3 linked regions of the Xenopus tropicalis genome follow. The main gene of each other region encodes a partner of the protein of the gene in region 3 in a complex. Links are inferred from orthologs where the notes say so. Each region holds a gene or a part of one and is shown on either strand. Other genes may lie near its edges. The genes, in order: pa2g4, arvcf and srsf1.

Region 1 (10,954 bases), about 62 Mb from region 3:
ATCCAAACGCACACTTGGCTGCCCGGACTGCACATGTTTTTTAAATTTTTTTTTTATTTTTTTCTTTGTTTCAATTCATTTCAATTGTCAGGATAAAGAAGGGAGAGAGGCAAAAATAACGCAAGTACTAAAAATATTAACTGGCAGGTCAAAGTCAGACACCTCAGAGAAAAGCCTCTGTTCACTCTGTGCCTTCATTTTCTTCAGCAGTGGCATTTTCAGCATTTTTTGACGCCTGCAATATACAAAAATGAGTTAAACAAAACTGCATTCATTTTGCATAATCTACAAAAATCGGAAAAAAAACACTTTTGGTAAAGCATTCTCTCCTGACTTCCTTTGATTCAGAACTGGCACCTGGTAGGTGCTACTTGGCCATACAAGTAGATGGCCAAACCAGGCAGATAATGCAAAAATTCACCTATGCATGGCTGCCTATCATTTTTCTCATTTAAAGGGGTTGTTCACCTTTCAGTTAACTTTTAATATGATTTAGAGGGTAATATTCAGAGACAATTTGCAATTGGTCTTAATTTATTTTTATTAGTTGTTCTATTTTTGTTTGACAGCTCTCCAGTTTGGAGTTTCAGCATCTATCTGGTTGCTAGGGTCCAAATTACCTTAGCAACCAGGGAGTGATATGAATCAGAATCTGGTATATTAATAGGAGAGGACTTGAATAGAAAAATAAGTAATAAAAAGTAACAATAAAACTGTAGCCTTAAAGAGCAATAGTTTTTTGCCTGCTGGGCCCCATTTGAAAGCTGCAAAAAGTTAAAAGGCAGCAAATAATTCAAAACCTAATAAAAAAAAAAATTAAGACCAACTGGAAAGTTGCTTAGAACTGCCCATTTTACATTATACTAAAAGTTAACTTAAAGGGGAACCACCCCTTTAATGGTACAATTAACTACATAGTACAGATGAGCACTCTCATCCTAAATGACAACTACACATTCCCACCTTCTCACAAACAACCCAACCAACATGGAGATTCCTTAGATTGTGTATGCTTTAAATGGTCTAAAATCCCTAAAATTAACAATTGTAATATAGAAACAACCAGACAATGATTTTCTATTAAAGGAGAAGGAAAGGCTACGTTACTTGGGGGTGCCAAAATGTTGGGCTGGTGCTGTTTTCTCCTAACAGGGGCACCAGCCCGTGGGAAAAGGTAAGCTATTAAAGTCGCTTGGGGGCGCCTAACATTTTTAAACAATACATCTGCCCAGTTTTGCTTAGGTTGAACTGTTTAAGCTTATGGAGTTAAATGTGTAAAAAACGTCGAGAAAATTTGCCACACATCGCTGTGTAAAAAACCGCGTAGTTTTTTTTACGCGTTTCTCTTCCGCTGGAACGAATGTAAAATAGCGGCGTAAAATCTGGCATTAGGACGTCGATCTTCTCTGTTTACACAGCTTTTTCAGCAAATTTGTTTTACACAGCTTAATATATATGCCCCTAAGTCTCCTGCGCTTGTATAATTCATGGCAAAGAAGTGCAGTCCTGAAAGCAAAGACAATACCTTCTTTTTCTTCTTTTTCTGGGTTTTCCGACTTGCTGAACTTTGCAGAAGTGCCTGTAAGCAATACCAGTAATTTCATATTAGATCTACGTTTTGTGGATATGTTTTTATAAATAAGACATTTCTTCGTTAATAAAAAAAAGATAACAAATAACCTCTATGGAATCACTGCATTTTGCGTACAGAAAGCACTATCAGTTAAATGATCCTGTCCCAGAGGTTTTACTGCAAAAATGTCAAATCAACAGTAAATATATAAAGTGATAAAGTCTCACCCACCTTCAACTCGGAATCTTGCACCTCAAGCTCAGATTTGTACATATCAGGTTCAAAGGGGCCGCTAGTTATCCTCATAGGACCATTGGGCATTAAGAGAACAGTGAACTTGAACTGAGCTACAAATTCGCCTAGGATTAAAAAAACAAAAAAAACATTGCAAGTTAAAACAAGCAATGCTTTAACTGTGTTATTCCAGAAAAATTATCTAAAGATATCAGTGTTACAATATAAATATTAAAACACACACACCATACAAAAAGTTTCTCATTCTAAACTTAAAAAATACACCATAAAAATCATGACAGAATCCCTTCATATCTAAATTACACAGCTTACTTTCAAATAATGCACCGTTTTTTAGTCGTAATATTGGTGCCATCTCAGTGCATTGTGCCGGAGTCTGAGCTTTCAGAAGGAGCCAGCGCTACACATTAGAACTGCTTTCAGGTAGCCTACTGTTTTTCCTAATCAACATACTGTCAATACAACCCAAGCTGCAAAATAAGAAAACAGAGTTTCGGTGCTATACTTAAGTCTTCCACTAGGTGGGCAAGTGAACTTGTTTAGCAATGCAAACAATTTCTGATGTAATTTAATCTCTATCATGCTAAAATCTTCTATAGCCTTCAGGAAAACTGCTTTGGAAGGGAAATGGGTCTAGGGTGTCAAAAATCATTGCCTCTCTTTGCATTTTATGTATTTGGGGCTTAAGTTCCCACTGCATGTAATGTATTTGTGATGCCACTACCCAGTGTCTCACTTTATTTAATGTATTTTGGGTGCCACTACTTCTGCCCCACTATATAATGCATTTAGGATCTGGAGTTATTATTTTCAGAAGTCAATATATCATTTTTTACATTTATGTTCATATTGTGTGTATATTTTATATACATCTCTATATTCTTTACTGTACAAAGCTAATTGAGACTAATGACACACGTCACTGTATTTTAGCTGGCAGAGAAATGACTGAAGTCACCCTAAATTACTGGGAGGGCAGTTTTGCCTTTTTACTCACTTGATAACATTTCAGATCACCAGCAGTGCTACTAGCCAATGGAGCTCCTAACAGTTCTGGCAGCTGAAAAGTGTGACTGAAGTGAATCTGTTTGCGCTTTTAAAAAATGGACTTCAGTTTGCATTTATTTGGACTTTTTTTTTTATTTAGTAAAATATAAATACAGGTATGGGATCTCTTTAACAGAAACCCATTATCTAGAAAGTAAATTATGGACAAGACATCTCCGTTACAGTCCATTATAAAAAAAACATAATAACAATAATACAGGACTCTTGATGGTAAGTAAGATGAATGGATCCATATTGGTAATAAAACAATTCTATTGGGTTTATTCACTGTTCCAATAATTTTTAGCAGACTTAAGGTATACCGATCCATATTACATGGTGATGCTATACCTATGCTGTATTTTTGTTCACATCTTGCTTTCTTTTTATGACTGTTCTGATGATTGATCTTAAAGTTTTAAAGTCTTGTTCGTATCATTGTTATTTTTAGATTGAAAGGAACACAACCTTCAATATCCTTTCCATTAGGTCCATTTCCATTAAGCAAGGGGCATTGCCTGTCACTAGGAATGTAATCAACTAAGTATCGCATTTACATTAAGCACAGCATTAACAAGGTTTACTCGTATCCTGTGCAGTTAAATATCACAGACCATGTCCGTATACAATTCAGCAGAAAAATGTTTTACTCCACTTTTAAATTACATTTAGGTATGCAACAAATTCAGGACTCAACTCTGCCTTTTTCAGCAGGATTTGGATTCTGCCGAATCCGAATGCTTAAAAACGCGCAACTTTTTATCACATACAAGGAAGTTGAACATTTTTCACCAAACTGTTCTCTAACTTTTCCTTGTCCTAATTTGCATATACAAATTAAGATTCAGATTCAGGCGAATCTTTTACAAAGGATTTGGTGTTTGTCTCTGTCTTTAATTAATGTCTAGTGTCACCAGACCCTTACACATTTGCCTAGGATTCTTTAAATAGAGGGCCAATGTGAGCCTCCCTTTTATTATCCTGATGAGCGTCTATGCAAGGTTTAAACAATTTGGGACTATCACTTCAATATATAAAAGGTGTACATATTTTGAGAACAGGTTAATAAGAAAGACTTAGTCCTTCTGCAAATATAAATCAGACAGCATCCACAATGGAAGTACTAAACCTTTCCCTTTTAATGCAGCCTAATGAATACTGCAGTCTGCCCAAGCAGAATACTAGCTGGTATCTTAATACACAGACCCTAAGAATTGCCTTGCAATTAAAACAATAAAAAAAAACACACACACACAAAAAGATGCTAAACACACACTGCACATATATTTACACACTTTTTCCCTATTTGCAATAAAGAAAGCAAGATCAATCTATATTTACCCTCTTTTTCATAGAGAACATTGAAAGGTTGGAGAAGCTCATGCTTGGCGCATTCCACAACTCCCATTCTTGCCTTCTTTTCATCCTCAAATGCCCTGCATAAAATAATAAGGTAGTGTCAAGAGCAAGGAAACTATTATATGACAATGCTGATCCACATGCATTAATGTATCAATTGCAAACATTTTTTTTTAAAATATATTTACATATTAAAAAACCTACTATGTGCATCATAAAACTGTGCCAATCAAACAGCATGAATTCAGCAACACATTTACAATTTAGGTCGATCTGGGATTCATTATAAACCTTTATTGAAGATGTTGATGATTTAGCACCATACAGTCAGAATGATGTATGTCTGCTACCACAGAAGACACACGTGTTAAGTCCACATAAACTAAATAACACTAATATGGTATCTCTCAATTAAAACACAAATACCAATGGCTCATTTGTAATTCAAAAATGTAACTAACACATTTCAGGCCCTTATGTGGAAAATTGCCACCATTGTGAATCCAAAAACATTCATCCGGTAGGGAAACCTGTAAGGGTCCCCCCTGTCATGGTCCAGAGGGCAAGAAAAGTCCGATATGCAAATGTCATGGACTTTATGAAGGTAAAACTTGAGGGCTCTGACGGGGTCTAGGGATTGGAGGGCCACCACCTTAAAGTTGGCCAGCAAAGGGCAGAAGGTTGGAATGGTCCTTACCTGATTCAGGTGGAAGGCAGATACCACCTTGGGAAGGAATGATGGCACAGTGCAGAGAATGACCCTATAGGGATGGAAAACAAGGAAAGAAGCCCGGCACAATAAGGCACGGAGCATGGAAATGCACCTCGCTGAAGCTCTTGCCAGCAGGAAGAAGGTCTTTTAAGTGACCCTCTAAAGAGAAAATTAGATCATAGGCTCGAATGGCGACATTGGAGTGCACATAGGACAAAGGCGAGGTGCCACGTGGGAACAAATGCTTGAAATGGGGGGGGCCAGATGGGCTACCCCTGCAGGAAGGATTCTACATCAGGAAGAAATGCCAGTGTTTCTGGAAGAGGACCGACAAGGCCAAAACCTGTTACTTGAGTGAGCCCAGTGAAAGATCCATGAAATGGCCATCCTGAAGAAATTACAGGATATTGGATAGGATTTATTGAAATAAAAGTTTTTCCAAAGACCAAAGACACAGACTACCACTGCTGGTAGTGGAGTCAACTCTGGGTGGAGGTGATTGGAGTTCACACTTTGGAAGGCTCTGCATTTGTGATAACCTTAATGTTAAGACTTCTAAAGGGGCCCTGCGCTTAGTATTCTTGATCTTTAGGCTGTTAGAATCCTAGTCGCCAGCTGAGAACCACTCCAGAACAGGGTGCATTCTGGGTTTTGGGATCTACTTGAAGGAATCCAGGTTCCTCCTGGGTGTTCCTGGCCTTGTTCCAGCCAGCAGTTTACAGAGAGTACATGGGTAAACATTTACAACATCTGGAACAGGCTAGCAATTTAATAGGCGCTGATGAAGTGGGAGGATTTTCTTCTAATGGCACAAGCACTGAGATGGCCAACTAACCTAAAAAAGTTGAAGGCAGGAAGGAGGAAGCAGCTGTTTGGAGGACTTTTAGGGGCAGAAGTGTGGCTGAACTTCCTGATTGCAAAGGGGAAAACTGCCCCCAAAGACAATCCCACGCTGGGAGATGCCAGTAAGAGACACACTACTTCAACATCTCCCGGCTAGTGACTGACTGTAACAATAAAGAAAGTGTTGCAAAAGAACAAAACAAAAAAAAACTGAACTGGGCTCTACCTGCTGGGGGTACAGCCAGTGGAGATGGTGCTAGTTCTTCTTCTATTGTATGCTGCCTTCTAGTGGTACCTGCTATAGCTGCTGTTCCAGTGTCCCCCAAGCAGATGATGGAGAAAAGTGCTTTTACAAAAAAGTACTCTAAAAATCCATGCTTCAGAAACATAACTCATTATTTAAATACATATTTAGCATGCTGCCCATTTAAAGTTTATGCTGCTCAAGTGAAATGCAAGGACTCTGCAGTACCTGAGAGTAAATGGCATTGCAGCGAAGCGCCTCTCGACTTCGCTGAAAAAGGCACGGGAGGTTTTCATTTTCAGGCCATACTGCTTAGTGGGGTCCCGTTTGTAAATTGTTGTGCGCTGCCCAGCGTCCTTTGCCTAAACCAAAAACAAGGCGGTGGCATTACTAATTCAAGTCTTGAGGAACAAAAGACGTGTTTCATGAAATCCATTGATTAACCTACCTTTCCCTCTCCAGTGCTAATAAGAACATCTACAGCATAAACTTCGTGGACCTCAAATTCTGCTTTTTCATGGTCTTTCCTACAAAAGAAGAAATGTGTTTTACAGTGATATTCTTGCTGGAATTCACATACACATTGCCAAAACCATCCTTTCAGCAATATACAATAACGTGCAAGTTTAAAATAAAGCTGAAAACATTACTCATTTTTCTCACTAACAATCTAATGATTACAATTTTTACAATTGATTCCCTTTTTCCTCCATTAATAAAACAAACCTTGTACTTGATCCCAACTAAGATATAATTACCCTTAAACAATCTCTGTATATTCACATTATCCCTCATGTTTCTTCAGTCAAAAAGTTCACAAGTTTGAGTCTAAAGCTGGCCATACACACACCGATGATATCGTACTTCGTTTCGTATGATATTCGGTGCGTGTTTGGATGATCAACGAGACCAACGATATCGCAAAGGCTGCAGATATCGGTCGTCTCACCGATCAGCCATTGAAGACGCCCGAACAAAATCTGCGTTTAGGGCTGAATCGGCAGGTGGAGGTAGAAGACGGTCTTTCCTATCAAAATTGTTACTTGTATGGCCACCTTGAGATACCTTGGGAGAGCAGGCTTATGTATCAGTAGGCTGGGTGGCGTTGTAAAATGCATTATATTAAGGTGGCTATACATGTTAAGATCTGCTCGTGTGAGGCGGTCAAACATTTGAATTAAAATGAGGGTGCGGATCTTAACATCTGCTCGTGCCGGGCACCATTGGACCAAATCGATGATGCAATGCGGTCCCCGGACAGAAAATATAAACACTGCCGAATGATACCTGGGCCATCGGGGGGGCCATGCACAAGCAGATAATCTGCCAAATCAGTCAAAAGGACTCACACCACCAGCTTATATCTGTCTTTAGACTCTATTTTCAGTACAAAAAAAGGGTAATAAAAATGCCCTTTGGTGCCATTTTCCATTTAGTTATACAACACATTAGAGCTACTAAGGTAATAACTGCTAATAGTCAACACTTACTTTTGCTGGTCAGTGGGGTTCTGAATGATGGTCTTCTCACCATCAATGACATGCTGCTTTAGCTGGTGAGAAAGCATTCCTGTAAAAAAAAAAAAGTAATGACTGACATACAATAATGAAAATGATGAAAAAAAAAAAAAAAACATTTCATCATCCATATATTCTCCAATGACAAACACAATATCAAAAGGACATCCGTCATAAGATTCAGTTTCTCTGTTTGCCCTATTTAGAAGAACGATAGCCAAAAAGTATTTCAGCACAGAAGCCTAGTCATTGAATTCATACTGAAAATTGGGCTATACTGCCCTTTGAACAGAAACTGAGGGTCTTACTATACTGGCCAACTTTTATATTGGTAAATAGTGATGTGATTAAGGGGTGGAAGCCCAAATGCGTCTTACAAGTTGTGGCTGTTAATAGACAGGTTAACTACTCATGCCTTCAATGTGGGCAGCTTCTCATTTTAATTTATTATTTACATCTATCTATTATCACATCCCTAATCACTGGCAATTCTAATGGACTCTAAAAAAGTGCATTACAAAAGGAGAATGGAAATATCCACTTTATGTAGAACACTCAGTAAAAAGTAATATCGGTTTCATTTTTGCTGTATTTACATGAGAGAACATTCACACAAAACAAAATGTAATCTCATAACTTCATAAGTTAGTTTTGTTGTGTGTGAATTCATACTGGGTATAAATCTGTAGGAGTTGCATGGTATAACAAATGCAGCATCAACAAAATCCTTAAAAATAATTACCTTCTATTGGAGTACATTTAAAAGATGGAGAAATTTTATTCCATGCTTCAGTCACTTGCGAGTTCTAAATGTAAATGAAAAATAACAGTTCTGAGTGCTTTGTATACACTGCAGAAACAGCCAATAAACAACCATAAAAGGAAACTGTGGGAGCCACAACAAAAACCTAAAGCATAACAAGGCCAACTGACCAACCTAGGCCATTTAAAAACACTCTCGCTAGCCTAAAATGTTAACAAGCAAATCTGAGGTTTGATTTGTATCATTAATTTGTATTACATATCTTTCTATTCAGACTATCCCCTAATTGTTTTACAGCCATCCAAACCACACTGAATTTCCTAGGGCCACCTCAAAGATAATTTAAATTCCAAACTGGATTATTGGGGTTATTAGAATTATTATTTGCCCTATTCTGAGGCTCTGCACTACACACATCAGTCATCAGGGGCGGCATTTTAGCTTGGAGGTTCTCACCTGATTTCCTGGTTTCACAAGACGTAAAGCGGCTTCTCCACACAGATGGGCTGCTTTGATGACATCGGCTTTACGTCCAGTCACCGGACACTCCTAAACAAAAACGTCTCTACTGGGTTTAAGTTTCCATAGACAGCACAGAACTAGGATTGTTTTGTTTTTAAATGACATGCACACTACGGTTTCCTGCAATACAGCATTTACTTTTATATGATATTTCCTGGACCTCTTTTGATGAGAAAGCAAAAAATAGAATTACTAGAAAATAATGATTCAATACACCTCAATAAAGGAAAAATTAAAGTTACAACACAGAAATGTGCCAGTTATTACGAAAAACAGAATGTGGAAAGCTATTTTTTTTGCAGAAAATGGAGCCCCAGCCTAGCAGTATTTGCAGTTATGATGGAAATTGTGAGCCGCAAAGCTGCTTTTTTCTGAAGGCTAGGCTGGGAATACAATTGAAAGTGGTACCCGAGCTCCCCAGAATTACATTTCTTACTTTGCCTTCTTTTAATTAAGGTGACCATAAAAGTTTTACTTGCTCTTTTCATCCCTCTTTGTTTTTAAAAATTCAACTTCCCTGACAAAAAAATCTACCTCTAGTGCAGTTGCTCCAGTGTAATAGCTACAATTAAAAAGGGTACCTTTCCAAAGAAAACAGGTATGAGCTAAAAGTTTCTAATAATGTTCTATATTTCAAACATTTGTCATTTATGAGGCATGAATGTAAAATAAAATTCCATAACAAATTTCTTAGCAGATATGTCTGACAATATGAAAATAAAAAAAAGGGTACCTTTGAGGCTCCAACAACAAAGCTGTGGGCAACATTAGCAATAAAGCCATCCACATGAACTCCTAGATCACTGCAAAGAAAAAAATGAAAACAATTTTCAAGAAAAAAAAAATGCCAGCGTGTGTTTAGCAATATTATCAGAAAATGTACTTTGCTATTAACTCTAAGGCTAGTGGCACACGGGTCAGTTTCTCCACTAATATTTATACATGAGCAGAGAAAAGCAGATCTGCTGCCTTTTCCTACCTGAATGTGTATACACTGATAGGCACGGGATCAGCCCATCAACTGTTTTATGCTTAGTGGAGTCTAATATGCACTTTGTGTTACAATCTTTGTATAGGGTAGAGTGAACAATGCAAAAGGAACGTATAGGTATTTATAGTTCATGAATTAAATATATATATATTATATGTGCAGACTATGCATATCTAGTTCAGTATATGTACATAGTTCAGTCCGTGCACATATGACTCTGTGCCCCAACAGCTATAAACAGCAGCATTAGTACCCTCTTATTACCCACATTTAGACTTAAAGGGGACCTATTACCAACACATAAAAAACTGCATAAAAAAAAGTTCATTGCAAAGTAAACATGAAACCCAAATTCTTTTTTTTATTATAACATCCACACCTGTTATAAATGCATTTAAAAATATGAGCTGTCAAACATATATAACCTGCCCCGCCTCTAAGCCTCGTGCTTAGGGGCGGGGCAGGCAATTATTTTAACATTCCATTCAGCACTTCCTAGATGTCATTGCATTTATGTTTTCTATACACACACGGGCACCAGGTACCAGATCGTGGACCATATTCAAGAATTTGGGATGATGCAAAGCTTGCATTAATAAAATGGCAGATGCCGGCTTGCTGTGATTGTGTACTTGCAAGACTGAGGGAAACCAGATTGTATAATTTATGTAGTGTATGTAAAGTTTATTTTGCGCAACTTACATAATAAAATGGATTTTTAATTATTTCTTAAGATGACAGGTCCCCTTGCTCTATGGGCAAGCAGGCTTTTTTTTCTTTCTGCCTTCATATGCAGCTTTGCAAAACTAAGATGAAATCGGACTCAGCATTAAGTTTAAAGATTACTAAGACTTTCTGTATGTCCTTTATTGCAATAATAACCTGGAAGGGCCAATATACTTAATTAGCTTATTACAGCAGTTTAACTTTATGGTTAAAGAAACAAACTTATTAGCAGACAAATCCTCTTACATCTTCACCAGATCGCCATCCTTAAGCAGATAATCTTGGTCACTTTTCAGAGGTGAGAAATGACACACGCAATTATTTACAGATATACTCGTTGGAAAAGCAATCCCTGCAACATAAAGATGCAACTGGATCAGAAAAGTGATAAAGCAGAGACCA
Region 2 (10,954 bases), on a different chromosome or scaffold from region 3:
ACCCATGTGTATGATACAGGTACATATATACTTTATTTCAGGGGTGGTGCAAAGCCATAACAGACAGCAGGAGATTGTATCCCTCCTAGAATATTGCTCTATTGCTATGTGTATCGCTAAATCAAGGGGATAATTCCTCCGCACCTTTGCCAAAATCCTCCTGAGGCAAAGCAATTTCCTGTCTAATTTCCGGCTTTTCTAGATGTAGGACAATGCAAGCCCTAAAGCACAATGAGACTGAGAAAATAAAAGTGAAAATAAAGTGTGTTCTCTTACCTTGGCTTTTATCTACCAGCGGTAGCGTGCTGTCATCAAATCCCGATTTCCCATTTCCTTTGGATCCTTTTGGCAGTGTTGACACAGCAGTCTAAAGCAAAAGATATAAATAAAGCATTCCAGTAACTATGAAGAACAGAGCTCGAAACAAAAAAAAAAATGGATACATAAACATGGAAACTTCTGGCTTAAAACACAGCACTGGCTTTATGCTGCACTGAGCATTATAGCTGTGCGGAAATACCTTGGATACAGGGACTGGAATAAAGAGCAAGTCTAAATATTGAGAATCTTTGGGTGCAGCTGTTGCACTGAGCCAGATACATGGCTTCTTTATTTTATCCCATTTTACCCATGTAAAATGCCCGCAGGCCAACCACTGGTACAATATTTAAGTCAGCAGAATTAGCCTACAAGGTTTATTTCTTGCTTAGCTATATGATGGGCTATTTGGCCTAAACAGTTACCATCTTTCCCAGGGGCATTTCTGCAATGAGGCAATTTAAGAAACTTTTTTCAGACTGCAGCACACCTGAGGTTACCGAGGACGCAAAAATCCACTCCACTGGTAACTTTAAAAGCCGAAATTCTGTTTTTTGAATCTGAATTTTCTAGTGCAGAGAGTGCGGAGAGAGCTATAGATGTGAGGGCGAGACTGTAGTGAAATGATTACATGGTCTAGAAGATCATTATGTGTACTGATACACTAAATATGATACTTATAACCTGATTTAACCATCAGCAGCTTAGGGAGTCTTACAACTTCTAAACTCTGTGTAATGTGCTCTAAAGTGCTAAATCCTTGTGTTTTTATCACCACATTGGAAAGCATGCCATAAACAGGCTAAAGAGGGTAGGGTATTTATTATAGTACCCTAAGCAGTATAGATGTTTTGGTTTTTACACTCCTTAGAAACCTTGCCCAGTCCTTTTACTCTGTTCAAAAGTAACAAATAAAAACAATGTTGAACTGGTTATTAGGACAGTGAGCAGTTGCAATTTAGCATGTGAGCCTGACCTATTATCTCCCAATGACCATCATATGGGCTGAGCCTGCATACCTGGAAGTTTGCTTTGTTCCAGCCCTCCTTCTGTAGTGCCCCTCGTAACTCCTTGTAGCTCCAAACCATCTGCAGGACATGTGAGGCAGCTTTCACCTCCCTTGGAGACTGACTAATAAGAAATTAGAAAGGACATCCATCTTACAAAGAACACAAAGCACCCCAGGAATATATACAAGAAAGGAACTGGCCTAGCAATGCTTATGCTACAGTAATTGAAATATTTATGTGCATTGTGAGCTTTATGTCTATAAAAATGGGTAGGGCTGCTGTATCACATCTTTTGTAAAGCAGCTCTTTTCAGCACTAGTCCAGCTCCTTATTATGCCTAACTTAATTTCCATGTCACAGTAGTGGTACCCTGCAACCTAGGCTGACAGACAGACAGACAGACACACACACATGCGCGAGGCATGAAAGTTACATTTTTAAAATCTACAAACAAAACACCACAACATAGTTAGCCCCATTAGGCAAATGGTCTCCAATTCTTGCAAGCTGCAACACAATTGCTTGCTCTGAATTATAGCTATAAAACTTATGCAAAAAAAGTATTTTGGACCCTTATGAAGCAAACAAATGACTGATTATTAAAGTAGTTAGTCCATATGGTGCAACAGGCATTTTTATTGCAACCTATAAGAGCCAAAACTTGTTATTTAATTGATTTCTACATCTTATGTAACTTAAAGGTCTGTTGCTCAATTAAAACAGTCTTTTGCCTGTACTGTCTCTATGGGGTGCATACTGCTTTGGCAGTAATAAAAATATTTAATAATAATAGGGAAGAAGAGGTTAAGCAGCAATAGATGACTGGAAACAGATGCACCATGTAATATTTGGTGAGAAAGAACAAATAGAGGCAGTTACTGAAATTCATATATAATATAAATCCACTTGGAAATAATATTGGATGGTTAATTTCATTCATTCTGCACATTTACATTCTATAGTATAGGGTAAACAGACCCTGCCCAGAGAGCAGAATAGTAATAGGATAATACTTTAAGGCACCGTCTGCTTTAGCACAAATATCCACTAGTGTTTCTAGATAGCTTAAATGGGTCTGTATCACAGAGATTAAGCGACTGAAGTATTTATAGTAAAAGGATACCTAGATAAGGCCAATAAAAGATTAAAGGAATAGCTTTCCTCAGTTTCACACAATCTGATCAGTGTAGCCAAAGGCTAATGCCCCATGGAGGAAACTTTGCTCGGCTTTAGAAAAATGAGGCTATGCGTATGCTTTTCCACCGACAACTAATCTCTCTGTGGGACATTAGCCTAAATATTGTGGTTAAAAAAAAGGACTAGAAGAAAGAGTTACCTGGATTTATTTATAGTTATAAGCTTTTCAATCCCCTGTGTCTGTATTAAGGATCGGGCATTCTCTGAGCTGTCTGTGATTATTTCATGAATGGTGTTCAGAACAGCAACCACAGTGTCTTCCTCAAGGTTTTTTGCGGGACGTTGCTGTCCTCCAGGCAAGTTGCGAACCAACTGTCCCATGGCGTAGTTACCTGAAGAAAAATCATAGATGTACCCTTTGCATTTTCCTCCTCTGAAAACCTCATGCTACTGTATTAGAATTGAAGTCATATACAGGTGGGTTAAAATGGATTAATAGAATAAGCCATTTACAGGTGGGCTAAAACGAATTGGTTTATATAGGGAATATAAATGTGTAATGTAAGGAAGCAAGCAAGGAAACAAATATTGGATATCCAGTACAATAGTGTTGTCAAACATTTATTAGTACCACAACATATGGTGCACAGCAATGATAACTACTTATAACCCTCTCCCTCCTTCTTCACTGGAGAAGAGGCGCTTAAGAGGTGACATGATAACTATGTATAAATATATAAGGGGATCATATAATAACCTTTCTAATGTTTTATTTACCAGTAGGTCCTTCCAACGGACACGAGGGCACCCACTTCGTTTAGAAGAAGGGAGGTTCCATTTAAACATTCGGAAAGGATTTTTTACAGTGAGAGCTGTGAAGTTGTGGAATTCCCTCCCCGAATCAGTTGTGCTGGCTGATACATTATATAACTTTAAGAAGCGGCTGGATGGATTCTTAGCAAGTGAGGGAATACAGGGTTATGGGAGATAGCTCTTAGTACAAGTTGATCCAGGGACTGGTCCGATTGCCATCTTGGAGTCAGGAAGGAATTTTTTCCCCTCTGCGGCAAATTAGAGAGGCTTCAGATGGGGTTTTTTGCCTTCCTCTGGATCAACTAGTAGTTAGGCAGGTTATATATAGGCATTATGGTTGAACTTGATGGACGTATGTCTTTTTTCAACCCAACTTACTATGTTACTATGTATATGTGTAAACAAACAGCAGTGTAAATAGTACAGAAGATCACACAGAATGAAAGGCACTGAGAGATAAGCCAAAAGGAGTAGGTCAGAAAGTAGTGAAAAATCACTAATTCTATAATTTAAGTATAAAAAAAACCATAAAAAAAGATACCTATTAAGTCCTTGTTGCGCCGATCCATAGAAAGGTTCCTCAGAGCAATTGCAACAGCCCTTACCACTTTGTCAGAGTCAGACTGAAGAAGCTCCACCAGCACTGGCAGGCCCCTCTCCTTGCGCACTGTGGCACGGATATAGGTTGACCACTAAAGGAAGAGGAAAAAAAAAAAAATCAACTTTCATCTTTAAATCTCCACATCTTTTGTATTAAGCACCAACCATATGAGAAATGTGGTAGTATTGCTGTACATCTAGCAAGTCTATGAGTAACATCACTTACAGTCCAGTTCCCAGCACTGAGGTTCTGTAGGGCTCCTGCTGCAGCCTCCAATGTATTGTAGTTTTGGCTCTCTGTCAGGATAGATAAGTACAGACGCACCACCTCTGGTTGGTACAGAAGTTCAAAACCTACAGAAGAGGGAAAGAGGAACCACACTTATTGATTGCTTCATTAGGAATGTCATTAGTAAAATGTGGCATGGTTAGCATTAAACATAGGGCATCCAGGTAAGAAAGTCACTGCAAACGATGTAAATAGGGAAAAAGATAAGAGTTGAGAAAATGATCAGTATTGCTATTAAATACTATGCCACATGAGGGCAGTAGCAAGACTTGGATTTTCTCAAGGTCAGCCAAGGAAACTTACTACCTGTCACCAACATAGGAAAAAAAAAACATGGACTACGGCCATCAGATATCAGAACCAAACACTCAAAGAAGCTGAAGTGTAAACTAATGTTCCATTTTAGCTTTGCTCTTGTGTGCACACACAAACTCAGAGGCCAGCGCACACAACTAATGCTTGTAGGAACATTGGAGTGTATATATATGTATATCTCTGTATATATTTTATGTAGTACATTGTATGTAGCACTTCAAGAGTAACAGACCAATTAAAGAGTACATGAACTGGGAAAACGCAATTTTTTTATTTATTTTTTTTTAGAAGGGTGGTGTGTTCGTTATAACAGATGTGACACTAAATTTGTATGTTCTAAAAAGATCCCAGAATATACCTAGCCAGCTCTGCATGAACAAATGACTTTTTATTGCTTGAATACAAAGGGCAAATCAACCTTTATACAAGTTCTTTTAATACAGTAATAGATGCCTAAGGAAATCTTTTATTAAATTTGAATTCATTACCATTTTTATTGAGCTTGAACTGTTGGTAGCAGGCCATACATTTCCTTAAGTGACCTTGAGAAAATCAAGTCTTGCTACTGCCCCCACGTGGCAACAGTATTAAACAGCACAACAAAACAAAATCCTCTGGATTGTATCCATATCTGTGTTCTATATAGGCTTGTATATGCAATACCACTTGAATCCAGCACTGCCCCAACTCTTTACACCACTAAACCCTTTGCCCTCTTATGAGAAAACACTTCTTGTATGAACTCAAATGAAAACACATATATTGAGGAATGTATTATTCTACTTAAGACTTCCCCTTTAACTTTTATACCATCACATTACATATTTTAGCTCCTTAAAGAACCCGATTGTGTGGATAACCAGGTAAGATCTAACATTTAAGCCCCAGGAGAAAGACATCTGAAATATTAAAGCAATAACGGCTTATCTGACATTTAGTTTCTTTTATATAAATATTATGAGACCATAGCTTATTGCTTGCACACAAATTGAATACTGTGCATATCTGAAAGGATATGAATCAGATGAAAGTGTCATACTGCTTGCCTCAGTTAAGGCCAAAATAAGGGACTCTTCATAGAATACAAAGAATGAAGCAGCCATTAAAAGATGGAGCTGTGTGATAACCATCTAATGAGAATGCCTGTGGCCAAGGTATTATGCATGGAAAAATGCAAAGTACATGCGTGACGTAATATATTAGAGACCAGATAAGGGGTGTTGGCACAAACACTGGTGTTAAGGTGGCCATACACCTTCAGATCCGCACGCTTGGCGATGTCGCCAAGTGAGCGGATCTTCTTCCGATATTCCCCACCTATGGGTGGGCGATATCGGGCGAATCCAGGCTCTGGGGCCAAACAATCAAATTAGAATGACGGGTATAGGAGAAGTCGGATCGGGGACCGCATCAATGAGCCAATTAGCCACCGATATTGGCAGCTAGAATCAGCCCGTGTATGGCCACCTTTACTCTTATCCAGTGTCTGGCAGACAAATTGCATCAGAAAAGGGGAAATTTGCACAGTGAAAGGCATTCGTAAATGAGCCTTTACAAGGATTGTGGCATTCCATAAAAAAGTGGTTGTAGTCACGAACAGCATTTATATGGCCCACTGAAATTTATTGAACCTGGATGTCAATAAATCATGCATCAAAGGTGCTGTCCATAAGAACAGATTACAACAAACACTTTATATAGTGAGTAACATGTAAAATATAAGGAGGAGTTCCATGACCATATAAAAGCACAAGGCTGAAGGCTGAGTGGAACTTCAAGGTTACTTTTATATCCTCATATAATACTCAGATTTTACAACAGGAGGTACATTTGTTATGATGCAAAAGTTTAATTGATTCATAACACACAAGAGCCCTGAAAATCCATTCAAAATTATGTTTATATAAATGATGCTTAGTGATGTCAACAGATAATCAGGGATTAGTGAAGTCATTTTTATCACATGACACTCTAAAATGAGTGTATTATAATAAATAATGTACCGCATTATAAAATATTTTATAAAAACACCCCTTCAATTTAAACTGCTGTGAAGTAGTTTCCCTTGTCTTGTCAAGCTTTCTTACCCTTCACATATCTGCCAACTTAGTGCTTAGGACAACGATATGTCGCCAGCAGAAAATCACTGGAAAAATACCTTTTTCGTTTGAAAGTATGGGCTTTTCCAAACACAAAACACTTTACTGGAGTAATCTTAGAAAAATGCCTTCTTCCAATCCACTTTCTTGCACATAGGAGATTTGTCGCCTGCAGGACTGGCCATTATAATTATAGGCAACAAATTGCTGTGTGTGCAATTGCCTTTAAGAGTCCAAAATCCTTCAGCTATGTATTCAGCGAACAGATAGGATTTCAGACAATGGTGGTGTTGGCACCCTATTAATGGCACAAGGGGCAACATTTCTGAGCAATAATAACTTGACCTGCAAGTGCATCAGCAATATCCAGATGACTACCATTCAGGTCAACAGAAGGACAACTGCCACCCATATGGCGGGAAATTGTCCCTTGTGTTATTGTCCTAATAACAGTTGCTATTATCCCCACCATAAAGTACAACACAACTGCTGCGTTGTCAGACAGGGGAAAGAGACATCCATTTTAATACATGTCCCTGTGCAAACACAAAAGTTATTATGCATGTCAGAATGTAAGGCAAGGATTTGTATTTCCAAAAATACATTACTTAAAATTGCACATTCACAAAGGGCCTTGCCATTGCGTTGTCTGAAAATACTTCTGCAAACTACTAACAGCTTTTGTTTAGCTAAGCTTGGAATTCCAGCCCCACATTCCCAGGCACCGAGCCACCATTGCAGACTGGTATCATTTGCAGCACAATGTTAACACTGGGAAAATATGTGGTTAAGAAATGGTTAATGGGTCAGCCCATGTGATTACCACCGCCACAGCTCCAGTGTACAGTACTGTAGTCACGTCCTATATGGGGATTACCTTTTATTTCTCTGATGTCGGTCATGTACAGTTGGATAAGTCACAGAGCAATCTGAGGTATTTGGTGAATGCATTAAACTGAGGGCAATGCCCTGCTAATAATATTTCTTTAGATAAATCCACATGAAGCTATATATAAAAATTACCAAATCATAGAGAAGCGTCAAGTAGCACTTAAAGGGGAATTCTCTGGAAAATGAAAATGTAATATCCAGCTAATCTCCTGCATGAAGAGACACTGACCATACACAATTCTGCAATTGTATCCCTCCATGTCACTCCACACAAGGCTGAATCAAAGCTTGTGTAATAAAGGTGTAAGAATATAATCTCAGGCAAATAGGCCATGGTCAGACCCTGTGTCATTTAGCAACCAGGTGTCACGCACTAAAGAACTTTGCAACAGAAGCAGTAAAGCAGCGCATACATATAAACTTTATAGAATTTTGTGTAAGGTTCTCATAGGTACTTTGTACACAAGACCGACCTATAATTCCCAGTGTTCATCAGCTAAACTGGGAAAGAGGACGTGGGAGCTATAATGATTAACTAAAATTTTCTGTCCCTGCTTTACAGGTGGTTATAATTTTACCAGTAGATGTTTGTATAAAAGCACAAGCCTAGCTTTAATACCGAACAGCAAATCCTACCCGTCTCAATATTCAGAATTGTTATATTAGAAGTACCAAGTCATTAAAAAACCTCTTTAATGGAAGATAGAAAAACAGTAGGTTTGAAGAACTGTCTAATATCTGAATACAGATGTCGGGCCAAGCCTGAACCCTGTGCCACTGCAAGTGGCTAAACTCGCAGACCATTTCAGCATGCACCTAGCAACCTTAAGGGGTAACAAGTCATCACAGTTGATATTTTATTGCTAGTTAATCTTTAAGTATTATGCCACAGTAGGCAGAGCACTCCATGCACCTTCTGGGGGACTGCAGAAAGAGGGCCACAATGTGGAACCTGAAAATACACAGAGGTCTATCTGAAGTCGCGCCAGAGCACTCTGCCTTAACATATTGATTTTGGAATTCAGTTGCCCTTTAGTACAAAAATTAGCTCATTTCGGCATCATTCCCTTTGACCTTGAGTGTTTCCAAACATATAATGGCACAGGTCTAACTGGCAAATGGAAACAATCTACAGAGCTGGCAGAATTAGGTACTGTCTGCTTCCAACATGAGCCACTGCCCCACTGTACATTTCCAATGCTGCCCACTTCAGTCTATAGACAGAACAGCAGCAAATCCTCTTACTACATAGAGGACCAGAACTTCTACTTCTGGATGCAGTCATATGCCTGTATTGGGTATTGGCTTAATATCTTTTACTAAAGAATGAAGTCTAACAGACGGGGAAAAGGATTTGTCACCTTTGCAGAAAAGGACTGTAAAATGATCTCTTGAAAGACACTTTCTTGCCTGCTGTTTAGCATCGGTGAGATGCATTAGAGGGAGCTATTGATAACAAATGTGTAGTGTAGCTAATAAGAGGTGGGTGTTATTAACATTGTTAGGAAAAAAGTAAGGAAATGTGAAAGCAAACACAACCTTGCAAGGAACAGGCTTCTATAGAGCAGTCAGCAGGGGCCCAAAATGCACTGTTGTTGTCATGGCTACCCAATCAGTATCCTCCAGAAGATGCAAAGCCGTCTGTTGAGTTTAGTTGAGAGTGTGACAAGTGCTCCATGTAACAGTGAGGTAGTTATAGCTGCAGGCATCTGGAGGGCAATATATGTGTTAGGTAGGCTGCTTCCCCCCCATACCTGCCCATTCCAAGAAAAACAGCAGTGTTTGCTTCTATGATATACTGTACTGTCTAAATACCTTAAACCAGAACAAAAAGCAAAATAAGAGCAGAGCTTACCACAGCAATTGTGGCCAAGTTTCAAATCTGGCAAAAGATTTTTTTAAAGCAAACAAAAAAAAAATTGCACAGCTTGAATGATGCATAAAAATGTTTAAAAACAAAACATTTCTTTAAGAAACAAAACAGGAGACGGCATAGTGGTCGTGTGTGGAGAAGAGGATGACGAAGGAGGTACATGAATAAAATAACGTGTGAGAACACTAAGGAACTAGATAAAACACTGCTTCAAAGGGCTCCCAAGGCCCAGCTTCAAAGTCAGGTCAGCTTGAAATATTCAAGGGATGAATGCAACAGTCCCCCTTGATGGCTATAAAACTGTTCTAATGCCAGCTTGACAACATCTGTGGAAGACTGGATCTCAAGTGCCTGACCCGGTTGTAAGTTATGGCATCCTATATACCATGCTTATTTTACAGGCACACCCAAATGCCACATGGAATGGAAGGCTGAGCTGCACGCCACGCAGAGGAAACTGACAAACCTTTGATCTTTGACAGAAGTACCTTCTGCATAATTATAATCATAAATATAAATACACACATCCCAAATGCGTGCTGTATTTGAATAAAACATACAACATACACTCATTAAAAGTGATACAATTAGGTTAGAATAAAAAAAAAAAAAAAAAAACGTTTAAGAAAAGAAACGTACCCGTACATAGAAAAAAAAATGTACCCTTTCCATTCCAAAATAGACTCAAATTTGCTCCAGTGAGGAGCTGATATTTTTATTTGCATGACCCACCCCAACTTCCATACAGTCACTTGATTTACTCTGTTTCAGGGGCCCCAACCTTTCATACCCGTAAGCAACATTTAAATGTAAAAAAAGGTTGGGGAGCAACACAAGCATGAAAAAAGTTCCTAGGGGTTGACTAACAAAGGCTGTGATTGGTTATTTTGTAGCCCAATGTGAACTGGCAGACCACGGGAGGCTCTGTTTGGCAGTAGCCATGATCTTCCAAATCAGAAATTTAAAAATTAAGACATGATTTGAGGCCACTGGGAGCAACATGTTGCCCACAAGCCACTGGTTGGGGGATCACTGCTCTAGTTAAATGCTCCTGGTGTATGTCCAGAAAACAATGAGGCATCTCTGGATTGTAGCAAATAAGAAAACCCAAGGGCTGAGGAACAGTCAGTGGCTGCATGTACAAAGCTGACAGCAGTAGGGTGTCCAAGCTGCTTAAATGTGGCTAGAGATATTAATTGAGGATGGCTGTCCCTTGAGTGCACTTGCGTTGAATATCTCAGGCAGTTAAATTCGCAAGAGAGGCCTAACAGAAACCAGACTACTTATAAAATATTTAAGCTACAAAGATACATAAACACAAAGTCAAGAAGCATTGTAAATCTTTTTGTCTTCTGAACTTGTGTCTGGCCACCCACAAAAATAGGAAGACATAGGGAAGCAAACCAAAGATAAAGGAAAACTTTAGCTTTTCAGTGTGAAAATAAATAAATACATACAATAATAATAGTCATACCAATTAAAAGGCAGAAAACAGGATGAATGGGAAAAAAGTCACAGACCTATGCAATTCATTTGCACAATTAATAATCAGTATTTAGTCTGGGCAAAGCGGGCAACATCAGTTACTGGCATACAAAAAGAGAGGGGG
Region 3 (11,607 bases):
CATTTTTTTTTCAGCACCTCTCATCAGTTAACCCTTTTCATGCCAGCTGGATTGCTGCAAAGTAAACGTGCTTCACATCTCATTGAAATGAATAGAAATGTAAATTTTTATTGCGTTGGCACTCAGGTCAGTACCACACACAATTTACACTACTAAAAGATCTAAAAATTCAATTTTCAAGCAAAAAAAAAAAAAAATAGGATCTTGAGCACCAGGCCTAGCCTAACCTAGTCTTTCGCATAGGTATCTAAATTCATTAAATAATCCAACAGGTTTATTTGAGCTGCTCAGTGGTTAACAATAAAGCATGCATACTGACACATGGGAACAGGTTTAAAACCCTATGTCCTAACACGTGTGATCTAAAACTTTGGTTTTAATTCAGAAGTAGGCCACAAATTTGGGAAGCTGTCAGTTCTTATATATATATATATATATATATATATATATATATATATACACATACACACACACACTTTTTTTTTTTTTTTAAAGGCCCACCTGAGAGCCCCCTTCACATGCCAAGACTGTAGGGGCCAACTGGAAAGCTTTGATTCTGTTTTAGCTACCTTTATGATGTACAGGCTAAGAACATATTAAAGAGTTTTACATTAATGCTGAAGTAAACCCTCCAAGTAGTGCAGCTACAAACCCACCTTTGAGATATACTGGGAACTTTTTTTTTTTTTAAACATATCATTACCCTGTGTTTGCTTTAGAAATTTGCCATACAAGTATATGCCCGATGCTTTAACATTACCAATCTGATCTCCCGTGCATTGTACCCGAGTCTGATCTTTCATAAGGAGCCAGCACTACTCATAACTGCTTTAGATAAGCTATTGTTTCTCCTGCTCCCATGTAACTGGAGGAGTCCCAAGGCAGACTTGAATTTCTTACTATGGAGTGCTATTCTGATATCTACTAGGAGCTGTATCTTGCTACCTTCCCTTTGTTCTGCCGATTGGCTGCTGGCAGAGGGGTGGCTGATATCACTCCAACTTGCACCCAGAGCACAGGTCACATACCCTGGGAAATGAAGTATATGGCTAGCCCCATGTGAAACCCCCCCAAAAACCATATTCCTTTAAGCGTCCCTGTTCACCTGTACCTGAGCAGAGAATGTAGAGCTTCTCAGAGGGGTTGGTAGGGATGTCACTTCCTGTCTCTGGCAATAATCAAGAGCACATGCACTGGACTGGGTGGAGAACGGAGATCTCTGTTCAGGTATGAGATGCAAGGCTAATTAAAGTGCCGACACTTATATAACTGCAGAATTTCTCCGATATATGGTCTTTTAAAACAGGTTATGCAAAAGCCTAGGGAATGACCCATAATACTGCTGCAAGGAGTAATGCCTTTGGAGAACTGATGGAGGATGTTAGCTTTAATATAAAGTTAGTCATACTTCACTAAATCCCTATTTTGAGAAAAAAGGAAAGGGGAGGATTTTTCCCCACTTAAAGTGGTAAGCACACAAACAGGCACAGAGGAGTGGAAAATATTTACACAACACAAGTATATTACTTATCCATTTATTTTTGTTTCAAAAAGCAAATTAAAAAATGCAGCCAGGAAGGGGAGGGGGGGGGTGTCAACTATTTTTTTTACTCCCATTTGTTCAAATTTAGATTTTAAGAATGGATTAATTTATATTCCCACCCATTAGCCCTTTAAGTTTACCATCTATTCGTGTGGTATCCTTCCCAGGAGATGGCTCCAGCGTGCCTCAGGTCTCCTCTTTGCTCTTAACACACAAAGGAAAAAAAAAAAAAAAGCAAGCTCCTTCTTGCATCCTAAGGGCTTCACTCGTAGGAAAAAAAAAAAAAAATTCTATGGAATAGCCAATTGATGTGAAAAAATAAAAATTCCACATGAATGCGGTTTAGATGGGGCAGGAATCCACTCCTATGTTCCTTGTTATCTGATCCCGCTCCATGAATCCTGGTTATTCATCCTCCCTATCCTATTCATTCCTATGATTTGAATCCAATGATCCAGCTCCAGGATTGGGATCCAGTGAGCCCTCTCCAATCCAAACCTTTATAACCAGCAAAACCAAAAAAAGAGGCAGAGTTAGATAGTATTAAGACAAGTTTATGGGAGCAGACTAGTTACTCATGTAATCCTACAGGGAGCAGGACTGCACAAATAGCTACACAGCTTCCCAAAACAAAAATTATCTATTGAATAGTGGTATAGGGATTTACACACAAAACAGACCCAATTTAAGCATCTAGCACACAGCCACAACTGGTATCCCAAACTGAATTATTGTGCAGAGTGTCAGATGCATAAATAAAGGTTGCTCCATCTGCAGGAATATAGATATATAGTTACACCTGAAATATTTGTTTGCATGAAGCTTATGAGCTCAGCATTGAAGCAGTTGCTTGAATACATACAGATGTACTTTTCATATTGTGATATCTTTACCAACACCCACTGAGAACATGCAGCAGGAGCATTATTGGATACATCCTTTTTAAGTAAAAGAAAAGCAGTCCTACCATGGCCCAAATAGATTTAACAAAACCTGGGGGTGTAGCATATATGCCATGAATAAGTCTAGACAGGGTCCTATCATCCTGCACCACTAAAGATCACACTTTAAAAGCACAATTATAGGGCTCAGTGTTAAAGCCACCAGGATATAAATAAACCAAATTTCCTTTTCCTTTCAAACGATTGTGGAAAAATGCTCTAGAGGAGGCCAAGTAGAGCTACCCCACAGACTGATAGCTACCACTAGTAAGGGTCAAGTCTCTAAGTAAAGGTATGTGCAAGTATCACATTCTTTGACGCAATGCACTGGAATGTTATAACATGCATCCCAGTTTGAGAACAGCTTGACTGTACAATGCACTGGGCATAAGCCAAATCATGTACAATGATGAATAGAAAAAGTAATCTAATCTAATCCACTGGTGCCCAAACTACTACCCTTCAAATACTTGTAGATATAAGACTAAGCTAGACATACATTGCTTGAATGTGCCAGTTTCATATGCTTTAGTGTTCAGACTACTAGATAGTAGTATGATCAACAAGGACTATCTACTTCTCTCCCCTAATCAATATCCTTGCTAATATCCTGGCTGGTTATGGGACTACCTAAGAGTTGGTTCATTTATTTCACATTAGCACTTCCTTATTCATAACTAAGGTATCATTCAAAGTCAGACTCATTGTTGGGAGCAATACAAGAGTAGGAATTACAAAAAGGTGGAATTTATAGGTTACTGGGAAGTGATACCAAAGAAAATATTTCTACAGGTAGAGCTTGCATAAGGCTGTTATATCTTCTTGGATATGAAAAAGATAGGAGAAAAAAACATGCAAAAAAAAAAAAAAGTAATTTTGTGTGTAACAGTTTACAATAAGTACAATTGGACCCACAGGAGGACTGCCCATTTTTACAGTGGGTGAAGTTTTATTAAAAAAGGTATCACAGAGGAAAGTAAGCATGTTGTTGGTATGCAGTTGCTATGCATAAGCTATGACTGATCAGTCACAAGCAGCCAACAGCATTCATGTAAATGTCAGCATATATCTGCAAAGCTCAGTCTGCAATGGGTATAGGCTGAAAAAGTGTATCCCTCCCACAGCAATTTACACCAACATCTGAGTTCATTTGATTTTTAATGTGACAATTAAAACAAGAGCAATGTTTAGAACCACAGAGGACATGCATGTTTAGCAGTATTGATATTATACTCTACCTAGTAGAATGAGGCCCACAAGACATTCACATGTATTGTGGAAATACCCCTACAGACAGGAATAGAAAAAGGACATGTTCTACAAGCACAGGACTAAATTTATAAAACAGATCACAGTATCACTTATGAATAATTGTTCTCTTAAAACAAGAATTTTCAGCATAAGGTCAATACTGCCAATTTTGTCTAACAGTAGCACTTGGAGTCATACCATGGCCTCCATATTTGATCTGATCCTCCTCAAGCCTCCATTTGATAATCCTAAAATGATTGAAATGTCCTCCACAATCCTTTAATCCATCTCTTCAGATATGTCTACAGAAAGACACATGAAAAGGCAAGGTAAAACAAGAATTCCCCCAGGAAAAAAAAGTTAGAATGTATGGTAATCAACCACCAAAACCCACAGTGCCATAACCATAGTAAACACCAGCTGGTGCCTCTGAAGAGTGGCTAGCTAAACTGGAAGAATCTAGCAGTTAAAATACAGTTTTAGGCATGAGGGAAATGAGGGCATTAAGGAGCCAGTCTGATGGCAATACTACACAAAGGATTCAACACTTCGGCAAAATTGAATAAAACAGTGACTTAAAAAAATGAAAGTAAAGAAAACTGTATACAACATGAGGGTCTACAAAAAGCATCACGTGTTTTTCATTTATGTACGAGAGCGAGATCTGCTGTGGCGAGGAGAGTAGCGTGGAGAACCACGGCTTCTTCTTGGAGAGTAACTTCGGCTGCGACTGTTGCTTCTACTACGGCTCCTGCTACGACTGCGGCTGCGTGACCGCGATCTTCCATAGCTGGGACTTCTTGGACCATCTACCTTAACACGAATGTAGGCAGTCTCTCCCTATCAATGAGAGAAGCTGGATTTGAACAAGCCAATCTTCAATATCTTATGAACTTAGGCACATCAAAGAACGATAAAAGTCAAGCAACTATAGTACATTATACAGAAAATTTAAAATTCCCATATCTTTTGGCACCTTATGTATTTGGCCAACATCACTATTGGCTTCAGAGGTCATGTAAAACAGATACTGCTAGTCACAATAGGTAGAGAAAAACTTAACACAAACTACTAAACAATTTAGTATTTACCTCATGAGACCTAAATTTAGTGTTATCCAGCTTCCGTACTGCATATGTCATATCTTCTTTCCTCACAAACTCCACAACTCCAGTACCATCTCGGAACACATCGGCATAACATACATCACCTGCTTCACGCATGTGATCCTTTAAATCCTGCCAGCTGCCACTTGGAGGCAACCCTAGAAATATAAAGTTATCAGAGTGTCAAATTTGGTATCAAAAGCAGTTTTATACATAATTAAAAGCATGCAAATGGTGGAAATTTAAAATGGTTTATGAACTTCTAGTGCCAAAATTCCAAGAGTAGGTATCTATGCTGGTTATACAGCAATGCATGGAGCATTAAAACAGTCCAAAGACAGCTGTATTGCTTAAATGAACACAGCATCCTGGGGAAAACCCATTGTTTTAATCTGAACCATGCTTCCAGCGAGACTCACAACAGCCCAATTCTGCTAAAATAACTCAGGGGTTTACATTTAGTACGTTTTAAAGGTAAATTTGTTGCAGTGCTTCATGTTTGAACTGAAGGTAACATAGCAACATGTGCAAGTTTTCATAGTCCAGATAGCATCCTGAGCAACCAGACAGGGCCATTTAATATCTTGTTTGAAGACAATACCCTATCCTTCCCTTTTCTTGTGACTGCATGGTTTGAAGTCCATTATGCAGGAGAATTGTGTGTGAACTGTAATACAATTATCTACCTTGCAAGGACCAAGCAGAGAGTTGCTTAAGTTCTGTTAAGCTGATGCAAGCCGTTAACTGAACTAAAGTTAAAGGGAGATATACTAGTAGTTCTGTTTGTATACATTAATGGTCAGTCATATCCACTGGTATAGAATGCATAATACTTTAGAATGTATGCATAACTGTGTCCAACTCATTATTGTATACATGTGAAATAACGCTGCTTGTAAAAACCTGATGGGCATTATTCCTCTAAAACTTTGCAACTGATGTTTTTACTTTGGTTTTTAAACCTGCCACCTGATAGAACTCTTACCTGACACAACCACTCTGTATTCTGAACGTCTTGATGGAGGTCCATATCTCCCTCGGGGAGCTCCTCCTCCGCCGCCACCACCACCACCGCCGCCGCCGCCTCCACCACCTCCTCCTCCGCCGCCGCCACCACCACCACCACCTCTGCCTCCAGCTCCTCGCCCACTTCTTGGAAACTCAACACGCAAGCGATAGCCATCATAATCATAGCCATCTCTACCATAGACAGCATCTTCTGCATCCCTAAGAGAAACCAAGGTAAGAATTGCTTTAGTTAAAGAATGCCAGGTTAAGAAGAGAATATTCACCTACAATGGTAATTACATATCCTGGAAAACTTTCTTGGCTGTAAATGAGAAAACTTTATTACAGTCATGTATAGAGCTACAAACGACACATGACCCCAGATTAATTCTGTGTAAGCAAGCCATTGTATCTTAACAGTCTTTTAGACATGAATGGCTGCCCCCATGACTACACAAAAGCTTTTGTATTTACATTTAAACAGTACATTTTCACCAATACTTTACATATGTGCATATAGTGCAGATGCTTAAACACCCATTATTCATTTTGTAGTGTTGCTATTGAATATCAATACTGCACTTCTCCAAGCAGCCTACATAAAAGGTGTTAGGAGTTCTGGTTGAATAAGTGCAGTGAGCCTAATTGCATGCTTTATAGCAGAGACATGAGGCAGCGGCTTTAAAGCAAACAGGTCAATAAATAACCCAAAGCACATTTGCTTGTTAGAATGCCTTCCCTTAACACACTAGTAAGCATGGTGCAGGGCTGCAGAACAAAGAGCGGAAGCGCTATTCGGTCCCACACACAGGGGGCGCTGTTGCCTAAAGGCGGTAATAAATAGGGATTTACACGTGCTAATGGCGATACACAATGAGTGTATAATACCTCATTCTGGCGCCACTCTGTAGGGATTATAGGCTAAATATATTAACTTGAATAATGATACAACGCACCGATGTTGAAACATAACCTGCACCATAATCAGGCCTAATTCCCCCCCTCACTGGCCTCCTCGACTATATATAAACTCTAATACAACAGCGGACGACATTTTATCAACTACAGCAGAAATAAAGTCGCAGTACCACCACCCCGCCCCCGGATACACTCAAGGTATATTGTAGTTATTCACCAGTTAACACTAGGCGAGCCCATTAGCACGATAGGCCAAAGCAAAAACATTTACACAGGGATTACCTTGGATCTTCGAATTCCACAAAGGCGAATGGCGGGCCCCCTCTGCGGTTCTTTAGGTCTATGTCCCGAATGGCCCCATACTTGTAGAAAACGTCCTCAATGTCCTTGGTGCGGATGTCTGGCGGCAGATTGCCAACATAGATACGGCAATCGTTGTTACCCGCCGGCCCCCTAATCACGCCGCCCCCTGACATATCCAGCTTGATGGATTTAAAGGGAGACGGATTGAGAAGAAAAAGAAATGGAGTTGGAAGCCAAACAGACCTTCGATGCGCGCTTCAGAGCTTGGACAAGATGGCGGAGTTACTTCCTCCCTTGCTTTAGCCGCGCAAGGATACTAAGAACTCGCAGTGGTGCGTCCTCAACAAAGGTAATCTTACGCCGAGACAATATAGAGCCTCTCGTTTCCACGTCTTCACGATGCAATGTTCCTAAAGCTATGTGCCAATTACGGCCCTAAGAAAGAATCTATTCACTGAGGTAATATTTATACTAGAAACCTGAGCTCAAGCTGCTTCTCTGTATGTGATAGGGGGGCTTTCTATACCCTGTGCTTGACGTCACGTCCGTCCAGGAAATGCGCGCCCATAGTGGGGGAGGGCAGTGGGTGTTGTTTGAAAAATGTTTTGTTACTCGTCGTGCGCCATGGCTGTTGTTAGGTGGTTTTGTATTATAGAACCATGGTCGGAGGCTGTTAGCTCTTTATCTGCAGTGACATTCATTATGAGTATGAAAATCATTAACTACAGGTGTGCTCTCAATGGTTTCCGCAATAAAACTTTTAAAAGGGTTTTACCCTTGTTTGTAGTCCTGAGTGCCAATTGCTTTTTTTGTTGTTACAGTGTATTTGGAGGGTGCCGATCCCTCTAGCAGTGTGCACCGTACAAAATTTTTTTTGGAGTGTTAGGGTGTGCGGATAAGGTCTCTGTGGTCCACTCTCAATGGTTTCCCCATTAAAGTAGCACTGCAATTCAATACTTTGTAACTGCTGTCAGGGTAATATTGCAAACAAGGTTGGGAAGACTTTGTCCTATTTATTATTATTAACATTTATTTATAAAGCGCCAACATATTCTGCAGCGCTGTACAATAAAAGGGTTTTATACATTGGACATACAGAGTAGCATATAAAGCAATCAATAACCGATACAAGAGGTGAAGAGGGCCCTGCCCAAAAGAGCTTACACTCTACAAATATTTATGTGTTGATAATAAATACATGCCTTACATTACACTCCTGTTTGGGCCTTGTGCATATTTGTTTGTTTTATTTTAGTCGAGCTTAGATTGGGCAGTGAAATTGTAAGCTCTATGGGGCAGGGACCTCCTTCCTACTCTCTCACACCACATGGCGCTCAATCTGTGTATTTATACTTCTTGTATTTATTATAACAGTTGTCCTCCCTGTGTGTAATTGTGTATATTGTAAGATTGTATAGCGCTGTGTACCCTTCTAACGCTTTATAAATAAAGTTATACGTACATTTATATATTGCCCAGCGCTTTACAGAGTAGGGAGTGCAACCCTGGGCTGAAGTGGAAAAGCACTTCAAAAAGTGCAAAAGTATTTAAGAAACTGATGCTGGAATGTAAAAAAAATCCATAACAGAAAAATACTCGAAAATGTATGCCTTTTAGCAAACAAAAATTTCTTTGAACAAATTTAATATAGCTTTTGAGAGGTCACTTCCGACAGTGGAACAAAGGGGGCAAGGGGTACTGTCATGAATAGGTGTGCAAGTTGATGCTTCCCCCCACATCGGTATTGTAGAGAGAGAAATAGCGCTCAGAATTTCATCTCTTTAAAGAAAAACTATACCCCCAGAATGAATACTTAACCAACAGATAGTTTATATTATGCAGAGTGACCTATTAAAGAATCTCGCCAAACTGGAATATATATATATATATATATATATATATATATATCAGTAAATATTGCCCTTTTAAATCCTTTTCCTTGATCCACAATTTAGTGATGGGCTGTGTGCGCCCTCAGAGATCACATGACCAGAAATAATGCAGCTCTAACTGTAACAGGAAGAAGGCAGAACTTTGTTCATTAATTGGCTGATGGGGCCCAGCATGCATATTTTCCTTGACTTGTTTGTGTGCACTGTGAATCCTATGATCACAGGAGGCGGCCCTTAATTCTTAAAATGGCAACTTTCTATTTAGGAGTACCCAATAGCACATACTACTATAAAGTATATTTTTATAAAAATCGTTTATTTAGATGAAGCAGGGTTTTACACAAGGGTGTTTATGCAATACATTTTATAGAGACCTACAGTGATTGGGGATATAGTTTTCCTTTGTTACTTTTTATTTTTTAAGATCTTTTTTTGCCACCCCTGGTAACTTGCCGGGCGCTGCCACCAAAGGTGAGTTTCTTAACTATCCTCATGGCAGCAGCACGTTGAAAAGTTGAAAAAATTGCCTCTGATGGTAGTGCCGGGCAAGTTAACAGGAGTGTCGCTTCTGGCAACCTTAAGAACAAAAATTCTGATTAAAAAGAGCAATTGCGCTCTCATTTATGATCCCCGTATATATGTATAACTATATAAGGGGACCATATTATCTCTCTAATGCTTTATTTACCAGTAGGTCCTTCCAGCAGACACAAGGGCATCCGTTTCAAAAGAAGGAATTTGTTGTTGTTCTAGTATCTAAATCCATACAGTTGTAAAAATGAAATTAAAACATATCCACTCAAACGGTACCAAAAAGGGAAACAATTGTCAATTTTGTGCCTAAAGTTTGGAGTTCATGCTGAATTCTAGAGCTGTGGATTATGTATTTTAAACAGAATAGTTGCAGTGAATTATCAGTCTGCTGTGGGTATAGATTAGTCACGTCCCAGTTTGTCATATCTGGATCCAATCTGGGTCTGCAGTTAGCCATTTGCCTCTCTGAAGCTGGAAAAAATGTATTAAAACCTGAATGTCCCTATACAGATCCTGTGCTTCTTAGAATATAGCACAATGCTATGGGCACAAAAACCTGCTCTGTTTACAAACACAGCACAAACTGCAGTCCACTGGAGCTGGAGAGCATAAAACCCCAGACTCCACGTCACCTCAAAACCCCCACATTAATTGCCTCTGGCATGGACTCATGTAGTCAAATAACTACAGTTTTATGTGCAAAAAGTCCAGTACATGGTGATCTGTTTACATGGTCTGTTCTTCCACACATTGCAGTGGGTTCCTGTTCAACAGGCAGCAATCACTCAAGCAAGAACTGATGCAGACTTTTAAAAAGTAATCATTAAATACAGAGTATTTTTGGGGTTATTGCCTGTGTTGAAAGATTAAAAAGGGTTGTTGTCAGACTTGGAATTTCTTGGGAAGAACAGTCTGGCTTTGAGAGTAATCCATCAATACATCCAGGAACTGTGTGTGCTGCATGGCAATAATATTTGATTTAGTAGTAACTTTTTGAAAATCCTGAACATATCAGTCAATCATCTAAGTGTAGTACAGTGTATATACTACTACAAGCACCATAAATGTGTTAATGATATTTATGGGAAGATGAGAGGCTGAAGAGAAGGGCTATAAATTATAATTGATAATCTTGGATCTTGCAATTCCTCATGACAGTGCTAATGAAATCTTGGTGTGCTTGCCAGATGCAGATACATGTCCTGAAGAACCAGTGTTCCAGAACAGATAATCCCCTTGTTTACGGAGCACTGAGATGAATGAAGTCTTGAATTCCTGAAGCGTGCGCTTTTCACAAAAACTGTTGGAATTAGGGTATAAACAATGCTATTCTTCCATGCCTAAAAAAAAGCTCAACATCCTCTCACTACAGTTTACCTTATCTACTAGGAGGGAACAAAGCATATGCTTCCTAAAGAATAGAACAAATAACACTGTGGGGGTATGAGCTACTTTCAGTTGTTGTCCTTGGAGGTATATGCTATCTGCTATTTGTGTCTACACCAGGGCTAACACAATGCCTCTGAGTGCAGACACAATATAGGCAGAGAAACATCTCAGTCTAGCATTAACCTAAGGTCTACAAATGTAAATATCTTTTATTCAGTCAGTGTCCTACTTACCACTTATAAATAACAAAATTATCATATAACTGGATCTGACCTAATCAGCATATCTATTACATTCAACAGGATGTTAATGCCAGGGCTTGTATACGAATCACTGAAACTGGAAAGTTGCCCTTATTCTGTTTCTTTCTCCCTAGTTTCATATTTCTACTGCCTCCCCCTCTCCCACACCAAACATCCCATGCAGTTGCACAGATTGATGCATCCCATGCAGATGCACAGAATGGTGGGTGTGGTAGTTTGGATATTATGCACTGACCTACTTCAGCAATCCCTGGTTGCAGGTGGCTTTGCTACAACTCCAAGGAGTTGTGGTCCAGCCACATCTGATTTTCAGCAGTACTTCCTGTCTGAGGAAAGGTGGCAAACTAATATGAATTAAAGAAAGACCAATTTTTGTTTGCATTTTAGATTTGACGCCTGCCCCTGTGAGTACAGACCCAGTATAACAATAACGCATTATTGAAAACAGAGAAAACGGAG

Evidence for each region.
Region 1: srsf1 (region 3) and pa2g4 share a complex: the UniProt entries of both Homo sapiens proteins name them as parts of the ribonucleoprotein complex. The link is inferred for Xenopus tropicalis from reciprocal best matches to the Homo sapiens genes SRSF1 and PA2G4.
Region 2: srsf1 (region 3) and arvcf share a complex: the UniProt entries of both Homo sapiens proteins name them as parts of the ribonucleoprotein complex. The link is inferred for Xenopus tropicalis from reciprocal best matches to the Homo sapiens genes SRSF1 and ARVCF.

The regions. Positions count from the first base shown.
Region 1 is NC_030678.2:137,648,092-137,659,045, forward strand, and holds the end of pa2g4 (proliferation-associated protein 2G4), read right to left. Parts: intron 10,905-10,954; coding exon 10,799-10,904; intron 9,639-10,798; coding exon 9,569-9,638; intron 8,863-9,568; coding exon 8,770-8,862; intron 8,357-8,769; coding exon 8,293-8,356; intron 7,603-8,292; coding exon 7,524-7,602; intron 6,561-7,523; coding exon 6,482-6,560; intron 6,396-6,481; coding exon 6,262-6,395; intron 4,312-6,261; coding exon 4,217-4,311; intron 1,933-4,216; coding exon 1,805-1,932; intron 1,580-1,804; coding exon 1,526-1,579; intron 236-1,525; coding exon 182-235; 3' UTR 37-181; downstream 1-36. UniProt on the Homo sapiens protein: May play a role in a ERBB3-regulated signal transduction pathway. Seems be involved in growth regulation. Acts a corepressor of the androgen receptor (AR) and is regulated by the ERBB3 ligand neuregulin-1/heregulin (HRG).
Region 2 is NC_030677.2:154,938,428-154,949,381, forward strand, and holds part of arvcf (armadillo repeat protein deleted in velo-cardio-facial syndrome), read right to left. Parts: intron 4,233-10,954; coding exon 4,105-4,232; intron 3,971-4,104; coding exon 3,820-3,970; intron 2,858-3,819; coding exon 2,665-2,857; intron 1,450-2,664; coding exon 1,338-1,449; intron 368-1,337; coding exon 277-367; intron 1-276. UniProt on the Homo sapiens protein: Contributes to the regulation of alternative splicing of pre-mRNAs.
Region 3 is NC_030678.2:76,100,973-76,112,579, reverse strand, and holds srsf1 (serine/arginine-rich splicing factor 1), read right to left. Parts: upstream 7,498-11,607; 5' UTR 7,244-7,497; coding exon 7,050-7,243; intron 6,069-7,049; coding exon 5,827-6,068; intron 5,000-5,826; coding exon 4,827-4,999; intron 4,576-4,826; coding exon 4,381-4,575; 3' UTR 3,403-4,380; downstream 1-3,402. UniProt on the Homo sapiens protein: Plays a role in preventing exon skipping, ensuring the accuracy of splicing and regulating alternative splicing.